Linked DNA regions of Oryctolagus cuniculus. The protein of the gene in region 1 purifies or fractionates together with the protein of each later gene. This does not show direct contact. Links are inferred from orthologs where the notes say so. Each region holds a gene or a part of one and is shown in the gene's direction. Other genes may lie near its edges.

Evidence for each region. Proteins that work in one complex are often made in the same cells at the same time.
Region 2: the proteins of PSMB7 (region 1) and PSME1 purify together in Homo sapiens (affinity purification with mass spectrometry; 5 studies listed by BioGRID and IntAct, counting the BioPlex papers as one, with this or other methods). This does not show direct contact. The link is inferred for Oryctolagus cuniculus from reciprocal best matches to the Homo sapiens genes PSMB7 and PSME1.
Region 3: the proteins of PSMB7 (region 1) and RAD23B fractionate together in Homo sapiens (co-fractionation; 3 studies listed by BioGRID, with this or other methods). This does not show direct contact. The link is inferred for Oryctolagus cuniculus from reciprocal best matches to the Homo sapiens genes PSMB7 and RAD23B.
Region 4: the proteins of PSMB7 (region 1) and PSME4 purify together in Homo sapiens (affinity purification with mass spectrometry; 3 studies listed by BioGRID and IntAct, counting the BioPlex papers as one, with this or other methods). This does not show direct contact. The link is inferred for Oryctolagus cuniculus from reciprocal best matches to the Homo sapiens genes PSMB7 and PSME4.

What each region holds. Positions count from the first base shown.
Region 1 is NC_091432.1:228,297,343-228,300,842, reverse strand, and holds part of PSMB7 (proteasome subunit beta type-7), read left to right. Parts: intron 1-3,360; coding exon 3,361-3,476; intron 3,477-3,500. UniProt on the Homo sapiens protein: Component of the 20S core proteasome complex involved in the proteolytic degradation of most intracellular proteins. This complex plays numerous essential roles within the cell by associating with different regulatory particles.
Region 2 is NC_091443.1:51,061,087-51,065,360, reverse strand, and holds the start of PSME1 (proteasome activator complex subunit 1), read left to right. Parts: upstream 1-1,474; 5' UTR 1,475-1,522; coding exon 1,523-1,538; exon of another isoform or gene 1,539-1,597; intron 1,598-1,702; exon of another isoform or gene 1,703-1,826; coding exon 1,827-1,963; intron 1,964-2,679; coding exon 2,680-2,712; intron 2,713-2,804; coding exon 2,805-2,867; intron 2,868-2,998; coding exon 2,999-3,109; intron 3,110-3,212; coding exon 3,213-3,258; intron 3,259-3,372; coding exon 3,373-3,470; intron 3,471-3,722; coding exon 3,723-3,791; intron 3,792-3,871; coding exon 3,872-3,939; intron 3,940-4,041; coding exon 4,042-4,096; intron 4,097-4,170; coding exon 4,171-4,257; intron 4,258-4,274. UniProt on the Homo sapiens protein: Implicated in immunoproteasome assembly and required for efficient antigen processing. The PA28 activator complex enhances the generation of class I binding peptides by altering the cleavage pattern of the proteasome.
Region 3 is NC_091432.1:211,021,845-211,025,930, forward strand, and holds the start of RAD23B (UV excision repair protein RAD23 homolog B), read left to right. Parts: upstream 1-1,286; 5' UTR 1,287-1,672; coding exon 1,673-1,738; intron 1,739-4,086. UniProt on the Homo sapiens protein: Multiubiquitin chain receptor involved in modulation of proteasomal degradation. Binds to polyubiquitin chains.
Region 4 is NC_091433.1:148,747,137-148,751,239, forward strand, and holds the start of PSME4 (proteasome activator complex subunit 4), read left to right. Parts: upstream 1-1,303; 5' UTR 1,304-1,339; coding exon 1,340-1,581; intron 1,582-3,961; exon of another isoform or gene 3,962-4,103. UniProt on the Homo sapiens protein: Associated component of the proteasome that specifically recognizes acetylated histones and promotes ATP- and ubiquitin-independent degradation of core histones during spermatogenesis and DNA damage response.

The sequences.
Region 1 (3,500 bases):
GTCAGACAAAGAATCTTTATTTGCTGCTTTACTCCCTGAATGATGGCAACAGTGCAGTCTGGGCCAGGCTGCAGACAGGAGCCAGGAGCCCCATCCTTGTTTGCTCCGTGGGTACAGGGACCCAGTCCCTTGCACCATCTAACACTGCCTTTCTAGTGCATTAGCAGGCAACTGAATAGGAAGTGGAGGAGCCGGTGTTTGGACTGGTGCTCTGGTGTGGGATGCCAGCATCGCAAGTGGCAGCTTAATTCACTGTGCCATGGTGCTAACCCCTAGGGGTGCACAGTTCTCATGTGAAGGGCCTGCGACCCAGGAAAGTGTAAGAACCGTTGATCAGGGGGCCGGCGAGGCGACTAAGTGGGTAAAGCTGCTGCCTGCAGTGCCCGCATCTCACATGGACGCTTGTTCGAGTGCCAGCTGCTCCGTTTTCAATAAAACTCTTAAGAAGCTCCTGGCTCCTGGCTTTGGATTGGTGCAGCTCCAGCTTTTGTGGCCATGTGGGGAGTGAACCAGTGTTGGAAGACCTCTCTGTCTCTGTCTGTCTCTCTCTCTACCTCTCTATAACTCTGCTTTTCAAATGAATAAATAAATGTTTAAAAAGAACCATTAATCAGTAATATAATTTTTGGTGATATCTTAGCATTTCCTTCTGTAGACGCTTTACACTTTAACCCGTTTCTGAACATTAATGATAATTTCCCATTTTAAGGCATCTTCTAAGATATTAGTAAGGTATTCTAGGAATAGTTTGAAATATTGAACATGTGTGGGCTTGTGTAATTAATTCCTGAGGCTGTATTCTAGAATAAATTCCTTGATCAAAGGTATGCATTTAGCACTTTGCCAAAACTGTCCTTGAGAAAGATTGTACTAAGTTGTGTCCCTATCAGTAATGCATGAGAAAATTAATATACATATATATTTTAAAGATTTACTTACTTACTTGGAATGTAGAACTACAGAGAGACAGGGATCTTTCAACAACTAGTTTGTTCCCCAAATGGCCACAATGGCCAGGGCTGGTCCAGGCCTAAGCCAGGAGCCCAGAACTCCTGTCACATGGGCCATCTGCTGCTGCTTTCCCAGGCACATCAGCAGGGAGCTGGATCAGAAACAGGACTCAGACTGGCACTCCAGTGTGGGGTGTTAACAACGGAGGTGGCAGCGTAACTCGCTGCACCACAGCCTTCGCCCTGGGTTTTTAGTGATTGTGTAGTTGTAGGACGGTATCAGTTTATTTAGCTGTTTCTCCCTCTGCTGTTTGCAGATTTTAGCCTCATGAAGAGTGCTGCAGTGAACATCCTTGGGCTTTTATTTCTGTATAATTTGTCTGGTTATATTCTTGGAATAGGGCCCTAGATGCAGAATTTCTGCACTGGTTGTGAACGATTTCAATAATATGCCAAAACCTCTTGGATTCTATAAAAGGCATTGAGCAGATTATATGTGAACTTGGAGGAGAACTGGCTGATTTTATTTATTTATTTATTTGAAAGTCAGTGTTACACAGAGAAAGAAGGAGAGGCAGAGAGAGAAAGGTCTTTTATCTGCTGGTCATTCCCCAGTTGGCCACAGTGTCCAGAGCTGTGCTGATCTGAAGCCAGGAGCCAGGAGCTTCTTCAGGGTCTCCCACGTGGGTGTAGGGGCCCAAGGACTTGGGCCATCTTCTACTACTTTCCCAGGCCATAACAGAACTGGATCAGAAGTGGAGCAGCCTGGACTTGAACTGGCGCCCATATGGGATGCCGACACTGCAGGCGACAGCTTTACCTGCTACGCCACAGTGCTGGCCCCTGGCTGATTGTTTTTAAGTTTCCGTAAATACCGTGCTCAACAGGCAGTTGGTGTAGGAAGTGGCACTGGACTGGTGGGGCCGTGGGGCTGGTGATTCTGGCTGCCCCTCCCAGAGCACGGGGCTGTGCTCTTGACCCTGCTGCTGGCTCAGGTGGCAGTTCTTGCCCCTGAGCCTTTAGCCTGCTTCTAAAGTCCTTTCCTGTTCTTGAATTTTCCATTTACTAGCGGGAGGTTCTCTCTGAAATACTTAGAACAATTTGACAGTCAAGGGACAAGGGAAATGCTGAACTTGGCCATTGTGTTTGCTGGGAATGCTTCCTGATGTGTTGCTGTCTCAGTCTAAAGTTAGGGCTTTGGTCCTTTGCCTGAGCATCACTGATGATATTATCTGGCAAATCTAGCACATACGTGTTAGTTTCTGTTTTCTCCCCAAAGAGCTAAAGGCTCACGGTGGAGAACTTCAAATCCTACATGTTTACCTGGCATAGTAATTCTAGTGGTCAAAAATGGAACCAGATACAGGGAAGGGAATCTATAGAAATGGAAAAACAGCCAGGTTAAGGGGCCAGAAGAAAAATATGTGTAAGTTAAACAGAAGCAGGATGAGGTGGGAAATGTATTGTTGATGTTCCTGAGGGAGTGCAGCTTTGTCCTGTGGGCAGTAGCAGTGGCTTTTATAGGCTGCCAGGGAGTTATTTTTCACTTCTCTGAATGATGCAATGCTCCCCCCTCCTTTTTTTTTTTATTAATTATTTATTTATTTGAAAGAGTTAGAAGGAGAAGCAGACAGAGAGAGGTCTTCCATCCGCTGGTTCACTCCTCAGTTGGCTGCGATGGCCAGAGCTGCACCAATCTGAAGCCAGGAGGCAGGAGCTTCTTCTAAGTCTCTCACTTAGTAAAGGGGCCCAAGGTCTTGAGCCATCTTCTGCTTTCCCAGGCCATAGCAGAGAGCTGGATCAGAAGTAGAGCAGCTGGGACTTGAACTGGCGCCCATATGGGATGCTGGCACAGCAGACGGTGGCCTTAGCTGCTATGCCACAGTGCCGGCCCCAAGCTTTCTCTTCTACTCAGCATGAGCTTGTATCTGTGATGATCATTTGGTGGATGTATTCAAAGGCAAAGCTGTTTCCACACAAGCTGTTTTCCTGTTGAGTTGGTGGTGGGGATAGTTGTTAGGTCAGGCTAAGCTCGGCCATGCTGCAGTGTTAGCTTTGAAGGGAGCTCATCTGCCCACAGAAGTGAGAAGGGAAGGGTGTGCCAGACTTGGCCTGGAGACCCTTGTTGAGCACATCCTGTCTCTGGGTTGGTTTCCTCTCTAAACGGGACCAGCAGTGCCCTGTTTTAAAGGGGGCTGGGAAGCTGAGCAGCGGATGTGTTGGAGTGCCTCATGCAATTTACAGTTTATTTTGGCTGATACTAGATGTTCAGCTAATGTTCTCTTCCTCCTTGTGTTCCCTCAAAACATTAAAAAATGCAACAGTGTTGTCTGAGCCTGCATTTTTGGATTGTTTGTAGGAGTGTTCTGTAGACTCATGTGTCTTTTTCTTGTATGTTCTCTGATCACAGGTATCAAGGTTACATTGGTGCAGCCCTGGTTTTAGGAGGAGTAGATGTCACTGGACCTCATCTCTACAGCATCTATCCTCATGGATCTACTGATAAGTTGCCTTACGTCACCATGGGTGAGTGTGATGTTTCCCTGACAC
Region 2 (4,274 bases), on another chromosome or scaffold:
TCCTGGGACCCCTTTCTACCCTGTCTGCCCCGTGGTGGGGGTGTGTGTGCCCTCATGTATTTAACAAATGTTTATCGAGGCAAGCACAGTTCCCTGCCATGTGGATAAGAGAGACGAGGTTCCTGCTGTTTGGGGGTCTATGCAGGTGTCAGACGCACAGATAATAACAGCAAGCAACTGCACTTTCGCTCTGTGCCAAGGCACTGTTCTGAGCGTCTATAAATTCTTTATATAAATTAAGACATTTAGTCCTCTTGTCAGCCCCGCTATGAGTGTCTCCATTGTGCAGGCATGAAAAGTGAGGCACCCAGGTTAATCTGTTCAAAGCTAACACCACATAGAGGAGGCAGGGTTACAAACCGAGGCAGTCTGGGTGCTCTAGGTCTAAACCAGGAATGGGCAAAACACTGCCCTCCTGTGGCCAGTTTTTGTATGGCCTGTGAGCTAAGAACGGTTTTTCCATTTTTATGCTGAAAACATCAAAGAATAATACAATATGGTATGAGGGTAGTTCAAAGGGTTCATAGGAAAATGGAATTAAAATATATTTACTTTGGTGCAACTTTTTTTAATCTACACAGACAGGGGTTATCAAAAACGTCACGGGGAATCAGCACACTGTGAAAAACTTTAATGGATTTCAAAGGTTTCTGCACCAAAAGAAACATTTTTTTATTCCATCTTCCCACAAACCTTTTGAAGCACCATCATATTTCATGACACACGAAAATTACATGGACTCAAGTTTCTGTGTCCATAAATAAGCTTCACGGGAACCAGCCGCACTAATTCATGGACATATGACTGCTTTCTTGTTGCCATGGCACAGTTGAGTAGTTGTTACCAACACTGTAAGGCCCACAGAGCCTAAAATATATATTATCTAACCCTTGGCAGAAAAAGCTTGTGGAATCCTGAAACAAAACACTGAGCTAATATCAGAGAGAGAAATGCTGTGAAGGTACTCAAGCAGGCTGATTTGGCCACCTGGAGGTGGCACAGCCGGTTAGGCTGCGGTCTGTGATGCTGGCATCCCACAGGGATGCTGGTTTGAGTCCCGGTTGCTCCACTTCTGATCCCGCTCCCTGCTAATGCACCTGGGAAAGCAGTAGAAGATGGCCCAAGTGCTTGGGCCCCTGCACCCACGTAGGAGACTCGGAAGAAGCTCCTGGCTCCTGGCTTCCTCTTGGCCCACCCCCAGCCGTTGTGGGCATTTGGGGACAGAAGATTCTCTCTCTCATTTTTTTGTTACTCTGCCTTTCTAATATAATAAATACATTTTTTTTTTAAATCTTAATTCTGAGGAGGTGACATTTGAACTGAGAGCTGAATGACCAGAGCCGTGGGAAGGGCCCTTCAGGAGGAATGGCCAGGGGGCAGGAAGGCAGGTGACTGGAGAGGAGCAGGTGGGAGGTCTACAGGAAGCTGCGGCGGTCAGAGGCGAACGCGCAGCAGCAGCCAAGCCTAGCGGACTGCAGCTCGGGTGAAGGGTAGCAGCAGCGTCCGGGTGTCGGGCCACAGGATGCCGGCGAGAGCAGGTGCCCACGCTGGCTGGGAAGGCTAGCAAGGAGCGGCCAGCCAGGTCTCGTCCCACGGAGTAAGGCGCATCCCTGTGCCAGGCGCAGCAGCGGAAGAGAGGCCAATGGAGGAGTTGGGGGTGGGGGGGAGAGGCGGGGACAAGGGGGGCGGGAGGGGCAAGGTGGGGCGTGGACAGGCGGGCACAGGGAGCTGTAGGGGGAGCCCCGCGGGGCTGCCCGCCTCTGCGGCCGTCTCCCCGGTCTGGTCTGTCCCCGCCTCCTCCAGTCCCTCCACTCCCTACTACCCAGGAAGGCCGTGCCGGTGGCGAGCGCCGCTTTCGCTTTCTCTTCCCGGTGCCCACTCCTCCTCGCTCCTCGTGCGGCAGCAGGTCCCCCCCGGCCCTGCCATGGCCACGCTCAGGGTCCAGCCTGAAGCCCAAGCCAAGGTGAGCGCCTCGGGGTCGAGGAAGGGCCGATTAGAGGGAGACGTGGTTCCTAGAGGCGAGGGAGCCCCCGACCCGCCCCCTCCCCCAGCCCCCACTTGAGTAGGGGTCGGTCATGCCTGCCGCCTCGGTGCTCCCAGCACCTGAGCCCCGGGGAGACCGGTGAGGTCTGCCTTCGGGGAGAGGCGAGGCGGCCTTGGTCCAGCGAGGTGAAGTGAAGCAGAGAGCCGGAGAGGGGAAGCCTGCCGGCGGGGGCCCCACACAGACTGGTGCAGGACCTGCCCCTGGCTCCTCAGTGCCTGCGCGGGGCTTGGGGGGGGGCGGCACAGACTGGTGCGGGACCTGCCCCTGGCTCCTCAGTGCGTGCGCGGAGCGGGGGGCACAGGCTGGTGCGGGACCTGCCCCTGGCTTCTCAGTGCCTGCTGGGTCCCACTGGCTGAGGCTGCCCTACTCCCCTCCTCACATGCACAGCATAGCCCAGGAGACCCTGGAGACCCTTCCCACCAGGAGTGCTCTCAATCCCCAGATGCAACCCCAGGGGGCCCGGGACTGCAGAGGTCCACCCCTTTAGTCCCAGTCCACGGGCACAGGGGTCCATCTGGCCTCAGAGAGCACACCCCACCCTTCCCCAGGTCAGACCTGCCACAACCCTAGAGGAACTCCCTTCCAATAAACCGGCCTTAAAGCCAGGTTTCTGAACGGTTGCCTGTGCCCCACAGGTGGATGCGTTTCGTGAAGACCTGCGTGCCAAGGTAAGATCCGTCCCGCCACACCCCAGCTCCGACCCAACCGGGACCACTCGGAGTCTCACCCCCACCCTCCGCCACCCCCACCTCACACACAGACCGAGAGCCTGCTTGGGAACTATTTCCCCAAGAAGATTTCTGAGTTGGATGCGTTTTTAAAGGTACTGGGGCTGGCCAGGGAGCTGGAGAGTTAAGGGGCCCAGAGGACGGGAGTCAGGGCGAGGCCCTGAGAGTGAGGAGGCGAGAGAGACACACACACCTTGCCTCTAGCTCTCCTCCTACCCTCTGCCAGGAGCCGGCTCTCAATGAAGTCAACCTGAGCAACCTGAAGGCCCCCCTGGACATCCCCATGCCTGACCCGGCCAAGGAGAAAGAGAAGGAGGAGCGAAAGAAACAGCAGGGGGCAAGCTGGGAACCCCCCCCGGGGGGGGGGGGAGGGGCCCAACCAGGCAGGGAAAACCTGCCTTCCTGCGGTCTGACTCCCAGGGACCCCTCTCTCCCTGCAGAAGGAAGACAAAGACGAAAAAAAGAAAGAGGATGATGAAGATAAAGGTATTTGAACAAAAAAGAAATCTCTGGTGGGCAGGGACTTGGCCACCACCCTGCAGGGGCTCTCCTGTCAGGCACAGGCTCAGTGCAGTGAGTAACCCACCGCCCACTCACCAGGTCCTCCCTGTGGCCCAGTGAACTGCAATGAGAAGATTGTAGGCCTTCTGCAGCGCCTAAAGCCCGAGATAAAGGACGTCATCGAGAAGCTGAATCTGGTGAGCCCTGCTCCTTCCGCCCCTGGCTTCAGGTCGACCCCTTTGTCCTCTTGGTTCTGCCAGTTAGGTTATGCCGCTTGCCTGGTCTTAGCAGGAAAGGGAGGGCACAGCCGGTGAAGTCAGCAGCCTAGGCCCATGAGGCTTAGGATAGACCTGGCCTACCTCCACCCAGCATGGGCAGCAAGCAAGGCCAAGGAGGCCAGGTGGGGGTGGGGGGCCGGATGTGGCTTTGATGCGCTTCCCTTCCCCCAGGTCACCACCTGGTTGCAGCTGCAGATTCCCCGGATTGAGGACGGCAACAATTTCGGAGTGGCTGTCCAGGTGAGAGCACTGCCCTGCTGCCCTGCCCTCATCTCTAGTCCCGGCTTCCTTCCACTTTGGCCCTCACTTGCCGTCCCCAGGAGAAGGTGTTTGAGCTGATGACCAGCCTTCACACCAAGCTGGAAGGCTTCCACACGCAGATATCCAAGTGAGTGGCCGCCCGCCCACACCCAAACCCTCTGCTTTGGGACATGGGCCTATGAGTGCCCTCCGTCTTGTCCCACTCCACGCACACTTCTAATTCCCACAGGTATTTCTTGGAACGCGGAGATGCGGTGGCCAAAGCAGCCAAGCAGCCCCATGTGGTAGGTGCGGCCCTGGTCAGGGTGCGTGGGAAGGGACGCGCTGGGCATCCGGCCTGACTGCTGGGTTTCCACAGGGTGACTACAGGCAGCTGGTGCACGAGCTGGACGAGGCAGAGTACCGGGACATCCGGCTGATGGTCATGGAGATCCGCAACGCTTATGTGAGGGGCCAAGGGCA
Region 3 (4,086 bases), about 17 Mb from region 1:
CCTCGAATCGCTTTAAGTCAAACGTGCTCCAGGGAGCCCTATTCCTGGAGTCATTCTGGCCCAGTTCAGAGTCGAGTCTGGTTTGCCACTTCACAGGTGGCCGACTACAGGCACGCGGCTCAACAGCCTTGTACTTCAGCTTTTGCCCCTGTAAATGGACATGTAATCAATGGCTAACCGCTTATGGACTGTTGATTAGGCTCCTTACATTAAGATTTTGCATACTTTATTGAACTCCCCTCCAATAACCAACGAGTTGGGTGCTGTTAGTACCCCACGTTAGTGCTGAGGAGCTGGAAACACAGGTACCCATTTTACGAATATTCACTGTATGCCTGCAGTGTGCCAGGCGCGTTTCTTAGGTGCCGGGGATACACCGGGGAACAAAACAAAATCCACACCTTTGTGTAGCTTCAGTCAGGGGCTTAATGGAAAGGGAGAAGGATGATACACACAGTAAACATGTACATTAGATGGTAAGATTAGGTGATACACGCTATGGGAAAAACGATCAGGATAGAGGAGCTAGGACAGTTGTGATTTCCAGTAGGGTAGCCAGGATGGACCTCACCGAGTCTGAGCGAAGAGCTGCAGGAGGGGAAGTGATGGCAAGGGCACAGACAGCCCTGTGGCGGTGCAGGACGGGCCGACGCACTCAGTTCTAAGGACTTGGACTTTTACTCGGAGAGGGCCAGGAGGGAACTCGTCAACACGTCTGCTCACTGGAGAGACAACCACCTGCGTTTCAAATTGGCCTGTGGAGATTCAAGTCTCAAAGCCAGGGAGAAAAAGGCACGGTGTGAGCCCAGGCGGTCGCGCTCTGGAGTCCGCGCCCTCAGGATTAAGCATCAGCCGATTACACACACAGGCTCACCCCGGCAGCAAGCGCCCCGCAAGTGTTGGCCCAGGACTGCGGCTCCCGCGATCCCTCCACTTTTCACTCCGCCTTCTACCTCTCCTTTTCTAGGCTCAGCATCTACTCAGACAGGTTTCCACGTAGCGCTTCCCCAGCTACGGATTGCGCAATTCGGGCAGCTGGGTGGGGTCTGGACCTGGGCGGAGCGACAGCCGGTTGGAAGAACGCCCCGGCTGTAAACCCTGCGAGCACGCCCCAAGCTCACCGGACGCCCACGGCGTGCGCCTGCGCACCCCGATCCAGGCGGCCAACATTCCAGAGCCGCAAGCCGCCACGCCCCCAGTTCCGGGGCGGAGCTCTGGACCGCGCCTGCGCACTACTTCGTCGCAGCCTGCGCCTGCGCGCTTCGCCCGCCCGGCCCCATCCCCCAGGTTTTTTCAGGTGGGGGAGGGGGCACGTCTCGGCGAGTCACGATGATGGCGGCCACCATCCTGTGGTGAGCTAGCGGATTCTCTGCAGGTCTCACAGAGCCCCTCGCGCTTCCTGCAGACTCGGGGGCTGGCGGCGGGCGCGTGAGGAAGCACGGCGGCCGGAGCTCGCGGGAAAGGCCGGAGTCGCGGAGGCAGCGGCGCGGCCCGGGGCCCGGACTGGGGGAGAGGCCGCTCCGCAGGGCGAATGTGACAAGCCCCCACCCCCACCGCCTTCCTCCAGAGAGCGCGAGGAGCGCGGGCGACCCCAGGGCCGGGCCAGGCCACAGACCCCGCCCAGCGGCCAGCACCCGGCGGAGGCCCGGCAGCGGAGCTGCGCGGCGGCACCATGCAGGTCACCCTGAAGACCCTTCAGCAGCAGACCTTCAAGATCGACATCGACCCCGAGGAGACGGTACGCGCGGCGGGGAGCGCGGGGGCGCCGGCGGCTGCGCGCGGGGCCGAGCACCCGAGGGCGCGGAGGCCCCAGCGGCGTGTGCGGCGGACCCGGCCCCACAAGAGTTGGCCGGGGGCTTTGTAGCAGGGAGCTTCGGGGAGCGGTGGCCGGACGCCGGAGGCCTGGTGGCAGATGGCGTGGAGCGCACGCCCGCGGGGCCCGCAGGCCTCGGCCGCGGAGCTCGTGGCGCTGGGGCTGAGGGGGAGGGGAGGTCGGGCAGCCCCGGCGGTGGAGCCCGGGCCGCGGCTGCGGGTGCCCAGGTGGGGGAGGGCGACGGAGACGTGGAGCTGGTTAGGCGCGGAGGGCTAGGAGTTGGTAACCCGAGCTGATGGGCCTTAAAAAGAAGGATCAGGTTCCGTCTGTGGCCGAGTGAGTGGTGAAAATGAGTTCATTGCCCCCTTCTCTGGAAAGGTTAACCCTTTTGTTTGCATACGTCTCGAATGGTTTTCTGCCGTCCTCCTGGCCCCCAGCACACACGCACACGCAGATTACACTCCGAGAACTCTGGTGGCGAGGTGTGTGCCTCGGAGCCCTGCGAATCCGGGCTCGGACTCAACTCCAGATTGCGCGGGTCCCTCTTTTGGAAGCCTTGGAATGGTAGGGGTTGGAACCCTGGACACCCCCCCCCCCCAATACTTGCAATTTAGGGGAAAGAAACGAACATAAAATACGAACTCTGAATTTCTTCTGTAAAGTCTTAAGAGCTCCAGTCCACGTGACCCAATCTCATGCCATCTTCTCTACTTGTGGCTGCAAAAAGACGCGCTCTGTTGGAATCAATTCAGCTTTATCCCAAGAAATGAAAAATGCCCCGAGTTTAACTCTGCTGCGTGTGTTCCAGAGTTGTCACGCCCCCATACACCGTTAAGACTGTCGTAATGTCAAGTTGAAACCAGCAGCTTGCTGCTTATCTTTATTTTAAAAAATATTTGATTTTTATTTTGGTTGGAGATCGGGGCCTTGGTGTTAAGTAGACATGAGTTCCGTCTGTGGCTTTGGCACTTATTTGGTATGACCTTGCGCACATTACTCTGTTTCGTCCTCCATAATAGATATAAATACCTGAGGATTAAATGGTATTTAGTTGGAGGTCAATAAACAGAATCATTCGATCAATAGGTACCTTTGAGGGAAGATGATGTTAAGTTTTACCTGTCTCATTTAATCTTGTAAATTTTTCTGCATTTTCAGTTTGTTTAAGAAACCAAGAGAGTTGCCAGTCCTTTCGGAATTGTGGCACAAAGTAATTTCAAAATAATTCATCAAATGTAGATGAATGCTGTGTGATGAATTTGTAAAGGTACAGGAGATACCAGTTCTGTGTGAGAAACTTTCAGTGTGCTCAGAAGTAACTGGCAACACCCTGTGTGCTAATACTGCTAATAGAAGGAAATTCTTGAATATTTTCCTGTTGCTAGGGTTTATACTAATAAGTTGAATGACAAAGTTTAAAATGCAGTTGTCTTTAATTTCAGACCAAACTACATAAACTGCCTAATTGACTTCGGTTCTGTGTGGTAATAAGTGTCGGAGCCATGGTAACTCAGTTTATAATAGTCAATTCCAGAATTATTGAAACCTAAAGTTTTTTTTTTTTTTTTAAAGTATCTGGGTTTATTGAAGTTGTGCAGTGATACTTTCCATAGCTTCACTGAAATACTCCTCCTCTAGCTCTTTTTGGCATTTTACACATGGAGCCAATGCTGTATTTGTAGAAGTTCTTAACTGTATTCATTGCTTTCCTTCGATTCCAAGGGAATGTAATGAATTACACTTTCAGATGTATATTTTCCAGAAAGTTTTATGGGGGGGAGCTTTAGCTTTTTTGTTGCTATTTATATAAATATAACTTTGTTGCTATTGCTATAATTATAAACTAATATTTTAGGTTAGTCTGGGGTAAAAAACTAAAGCCTTCTATTTACATTAAAACAACTTGTCGATTTTCAGTAATGGCTTGGAGTTTCAGAAAATTTTTAAAGGCACCTTTTAGATGTGTACTCATTTTTTGATACAATATTTTAGAATTCCGCTAAGAAACAATAACAGTTTGATATAGGGTGATTCTAAGTGGCTTGTTCTAATTTGTTGTGAGAAGTAGATAACCAAAGATAGTAGAAACAGTTAAAAAATAATGAAAAGTTGTGATTTCATTGAGACATAATAAGTATATCTGCAATGAACAGATTTTGGCCTCAGACCTGTATTTTGGTTGCTCAAACATTGGTTCCGTGTTTACAAAGAAAGGAACTAAGCAAATTCCTTAACTCTGGGTAGCCTCTCTAGAAGTTCCTGTGAGCTTGAGA
Region 4 (4,103 bases), on another chromosome or scaffold:
GCCTCCCACCTTGGAGACCAGGATGGAATTGCCAGCTCCTGACTTCTGCTGCTGCTTCTGGTACTGGGGGAGTGACCCAGTGATTGCGGGTTCTATGTCTCTGTCTCCAAATAATAATTTTCAAAAAACATAATTTATATCATGCCACTCCTATGCACGAAATCTTTGAGAAGTTTTTCTTTAGGATAAGCCTCTAAATCCTCCAGCATTTCCTCCTCAGTTTCATTTCTCTACTGTCCCCTCTTGCGAACAATCTTCAGCCATCATAAACTTCTTCAAATTCCTACAATACCGCTTTCAGCCTTAGAGCTGTCGTCTCACTTGAAATATGAAAAGTCTCCCTTCCTTTTCTTACTTTGCTGTCAACCTTCCAGCATAATTTACCATTCGAGGAAACTACTTGTGGACACATCTCCAGGTCGAACTTCTCTTTAGAGATCCCTAGGCAACCTGTACTTACATAGTCATTAAGAGATTTCTCTTGTAACTCACTGGTCTATATCTCCGCTTCACAGTAAATCTCTGGAGGGTAGAAAACCAGGTGCTCTTAAAGCCTCCATCTCAAGAGCCTAGACACAGCGTCTGGCACACAAAATAGTCATTCGATTAATATTTGTTGAATAATCATCCCTTTCGTTAGGATGATGTTGGTCAGAAAGATAGGGGCTTAGTTTAAAGCAGACAGAGTAAAAAAATCTGTAAGGTACCGGTTGGATAGATACAGGGTATGCAGGCTTTTCCAAAAAAACCGCTTGTATCCTTGAGGCATTAGTTCCTCTGCCTGCGGGCCCAGGCCAATTCCTTTTGCCTGAGGCTGTGGCGATTAGGCTACCGCCAGGAGCGCGCGATACCAGGCGAGATAGGACAATAGCTTGGAATTCGGCCTCGTGCTTCCGGTGGGGAAGCCTCGTGCCCGGCCGGTGAGGCCCGGGGGTGGGAGCTCCAAGTCGGGCCCACGGCGAGGAAGGCGCGGCTCCTTGGGCGCACCGCCGCCACCGCCGCTGCTACCGCCTCCTCCGACGCCGTCGCCCCGCCCCGCCCCGCCCCGCCCCGGAAGTGACTTGAGGCCCGTCCGGAACTTCAGGGCCCGGCGGCTGCAGCGTCACCAGCCGAGCCGGTGCGGGGTGGGCAGAGCGGCCGCTGCCGTCGCCAACGAACCGAAGACCGCGCGGGGCCCAGCTGCGCGTCGGCCAGGGGAGGGGGCCTAGCGGTCGGGCCGAAGGGTGACGGGCCGCCGGCGGCCGCGGGGCGCCGACGACGCGGAGGAGGCGGAGCCCGGAGAGGGGTGGGGGCCGGGGAGGGCTAGGGTGGGAGGGGGTGGGGGGGTGTCCCTGTGCTCATGGAGCCGGCCGAGCGGGCGGGAGGCGGGGAGCCCCCGGAGCCGGGCGGGCGTCTCGGGCCGGGCTGTCGAGGCTTCGTGCCGCAGAAGGAGATCGTGTACAACAAGCTGCTGCCCTACGCCGAGCGGCTGGACGCCGAGTCCGACTTGCAGCTGGCCCAGATCAAAAGCAACCTGGGCCGGGCCGTGCAGCTCCAAGAGCTGTGGCCCGGGGGCCTCTTCTGGACCAGGAAACTCTCCACGTAAGTGTTCCCAGGCCTGCGAAATGGGTCGGGGCACAAGGCTCCGTGGGAGGGCATCGTGGGGGTGTGGGTTGAGGGGGCTAGCTCTTTGTCCGGGCTGCTGGACCTAGCTAATGCTCTGTCCTGGACGGAGCTGTCCCCCCTGCGACAGCAGCTTGTAAAGCTTTCAGGTCTCCTTCCTGCGACCGGTCTCCAGGACCTCCCGGGACCTCATCCGCCCTCTGCGTCCTCCCAGCTGTCCCTCGTCGAGCGGCGGTGTTGTAGTCTTCCGGCCCCTCGGGCCCTGGGGCCCGGCGCGGGAGAGAGGAGCCGTCTCGCAAAGCCTTCTTTGGGGCTTTGCGTATGGGGAAGGCGGGGTGATAGCCTTGGTTTTCGGGAGAGGAACTCCTGACTTGTCTGCTTCTCCTCGTGCTTCCTCCTCCTCCTCTTCCTTCCCCTGCAGTCCCCGCCTCTACTCGTGTCGGTTCGCGTCTAGGAACTTTCTGAATGGGAAGGAGGGCGTTGGGAAACACTGCTGGGTTCTGCTTTGTGGGTCTGCTCACTTTCAGTGGATTTGATTGAGAAGACTGGTTGAAAATCAGCCCTCAGAGTATTCTTGGGCCCACCATGGGACGTTAGTGTTGAGAGTGTTGTCTGAAACCTTAGAGAAGTGTGCGGTATTCCTCTTGTGACATTTCCTTTCGCCAGACCTTTGCGATACTCCGAGAAATAGATGCAGTGTCAGGTTGTGCTGGGCGATACTAGCATCAAACTTGAGTGCTTTGTTAAGGCGCTCAGACGAAGGCAGATTACTGAATTAGTTGCAGGAGTTGTGTTGTTGGCATCGTCTCTAAAAACCAGCTGCCACCTATAGTGTCAGTGAAATTACGGTCGGGGGGGGGGGACCCAAACACCCCCAGTTAAAATAGTGTGCGGGCAAAAGGTTAGGGAGGTTGTTCACTAGAGGGGTATTTTCAGTGTCAGAACTTTGGAAAACATTCTCTGTATCTTGTTTGGTTAATGTGCATACGGTTCTACTAACAGTGTTCATGCGTGTGAATGTTGGTAGATGAACACACAAGACATAAGTCACTTACTCAATGTTTACCCAAATCTGCTGAGTGAACTGGGTGATGACTCAGGGTTTTGTAATGCAATAGTCACCCTCACAGGATGATTCTTATCTGCCAGTTATTAGGGGACCTCTGACAAATTTCTTTTCTTTGGAGGGGGGTGTAGGTGGGAATAATTAGCTTTTTAATTAAGACAGGTGGGAATAATTAGCTTTTTAATTAAGAACCAAAGCTAAAACAGTATTCCCCTTCATAGAGCAACCATAAAATGACAAAAGTGTCAGCTCTCTTCCTGACCAGAGTGTAAAGTTTGTACTCTGTTGGGATCCGTGGAAGGATTGTGGAGGAAAGGAATGTAACAGGGAAAAGAACCTCTGTCAGTCAAAACAGAAGAATGTTTTATAAACAATTACAATTTGAACACTTTTTCAAGTGCGCCTTCTAGGTGTTTGTGTTATTACTCAGGCACAGTAACAATAAAGTTTCCTTGTCAGTTCCATTAATTTCCTATTTAAATCACTTGTATTAGACTTGCCAGAGAATACCATTTGGGGTGACACAAACAGCTTCTTTTAGAGGCACAGTATATAACTGTGCTAAAATGTGAAGACGTATCTGGTTTGGATTTATGAAGCTGCAATCTACATAGGCCTAGATAAGGATTGTTTAGTGATGTTATTAACAAGTCTGGTAAATTAGCACCTACAGTTTTGTTACTGTTAATAGACAAAAGTTCTTACCTAGAAAGGGCTAAAAATACAGTGGAGACAGCACATGGTGTTTGGGACAGGATTGCAGTTAGTGGCTTAATATATATATATATCTAACCAGCGAGAAATGCTATCAGGTAGAATTTTATTTTGGAATGGTGATTAAATACAGAGAACTGATTCTTGTGGTTGCACTGTGTGACATTTTGAACTTGTTGGGTGGGACGTGTTGTGGTCTTGGGTGTGTTTTTTCTCTTAAGTCATGTTAAGGTCACCTGTTTATAGTCGTGCTTGTTTTTTAAGCCTTGTATGTTGCATAAGTTAACATCTAAATAATGCCAAAATCTGTGATGATAGCTGAGTAGTGGTCATGTTTAGCACTTTGTAGCAGAATGGAAAATAGTAATGAAAATAAAATCTAGTTTCTCCCATATCTGCAACTTTGGGAAGCTTAATCATGCACTTTAGTATTCTTGTGAGTGAAACAAGAAAATTGAAATAAATAATTCCTGGGAACCATTCCTGTTATGGTGTTCTGTGATCTTAGGTATTTATTTTTATCCTGTTGAGCTCAACTTAAGCCTGTTGTATATTTTTCTAGAAGGAATGTGCGTGTAGTTTTTTTTTTTTTTTTTTTAAATTAATTTATCTATAAGGCAGAGTTACAGGGAGACAGCGAGCGAGGTCTTCCGTCTGCTTGGTCACTCCCCAAATGGCTGTAACGGCCAGCACTGGGCCAATCTGAAGCCAGGAGCTTCTT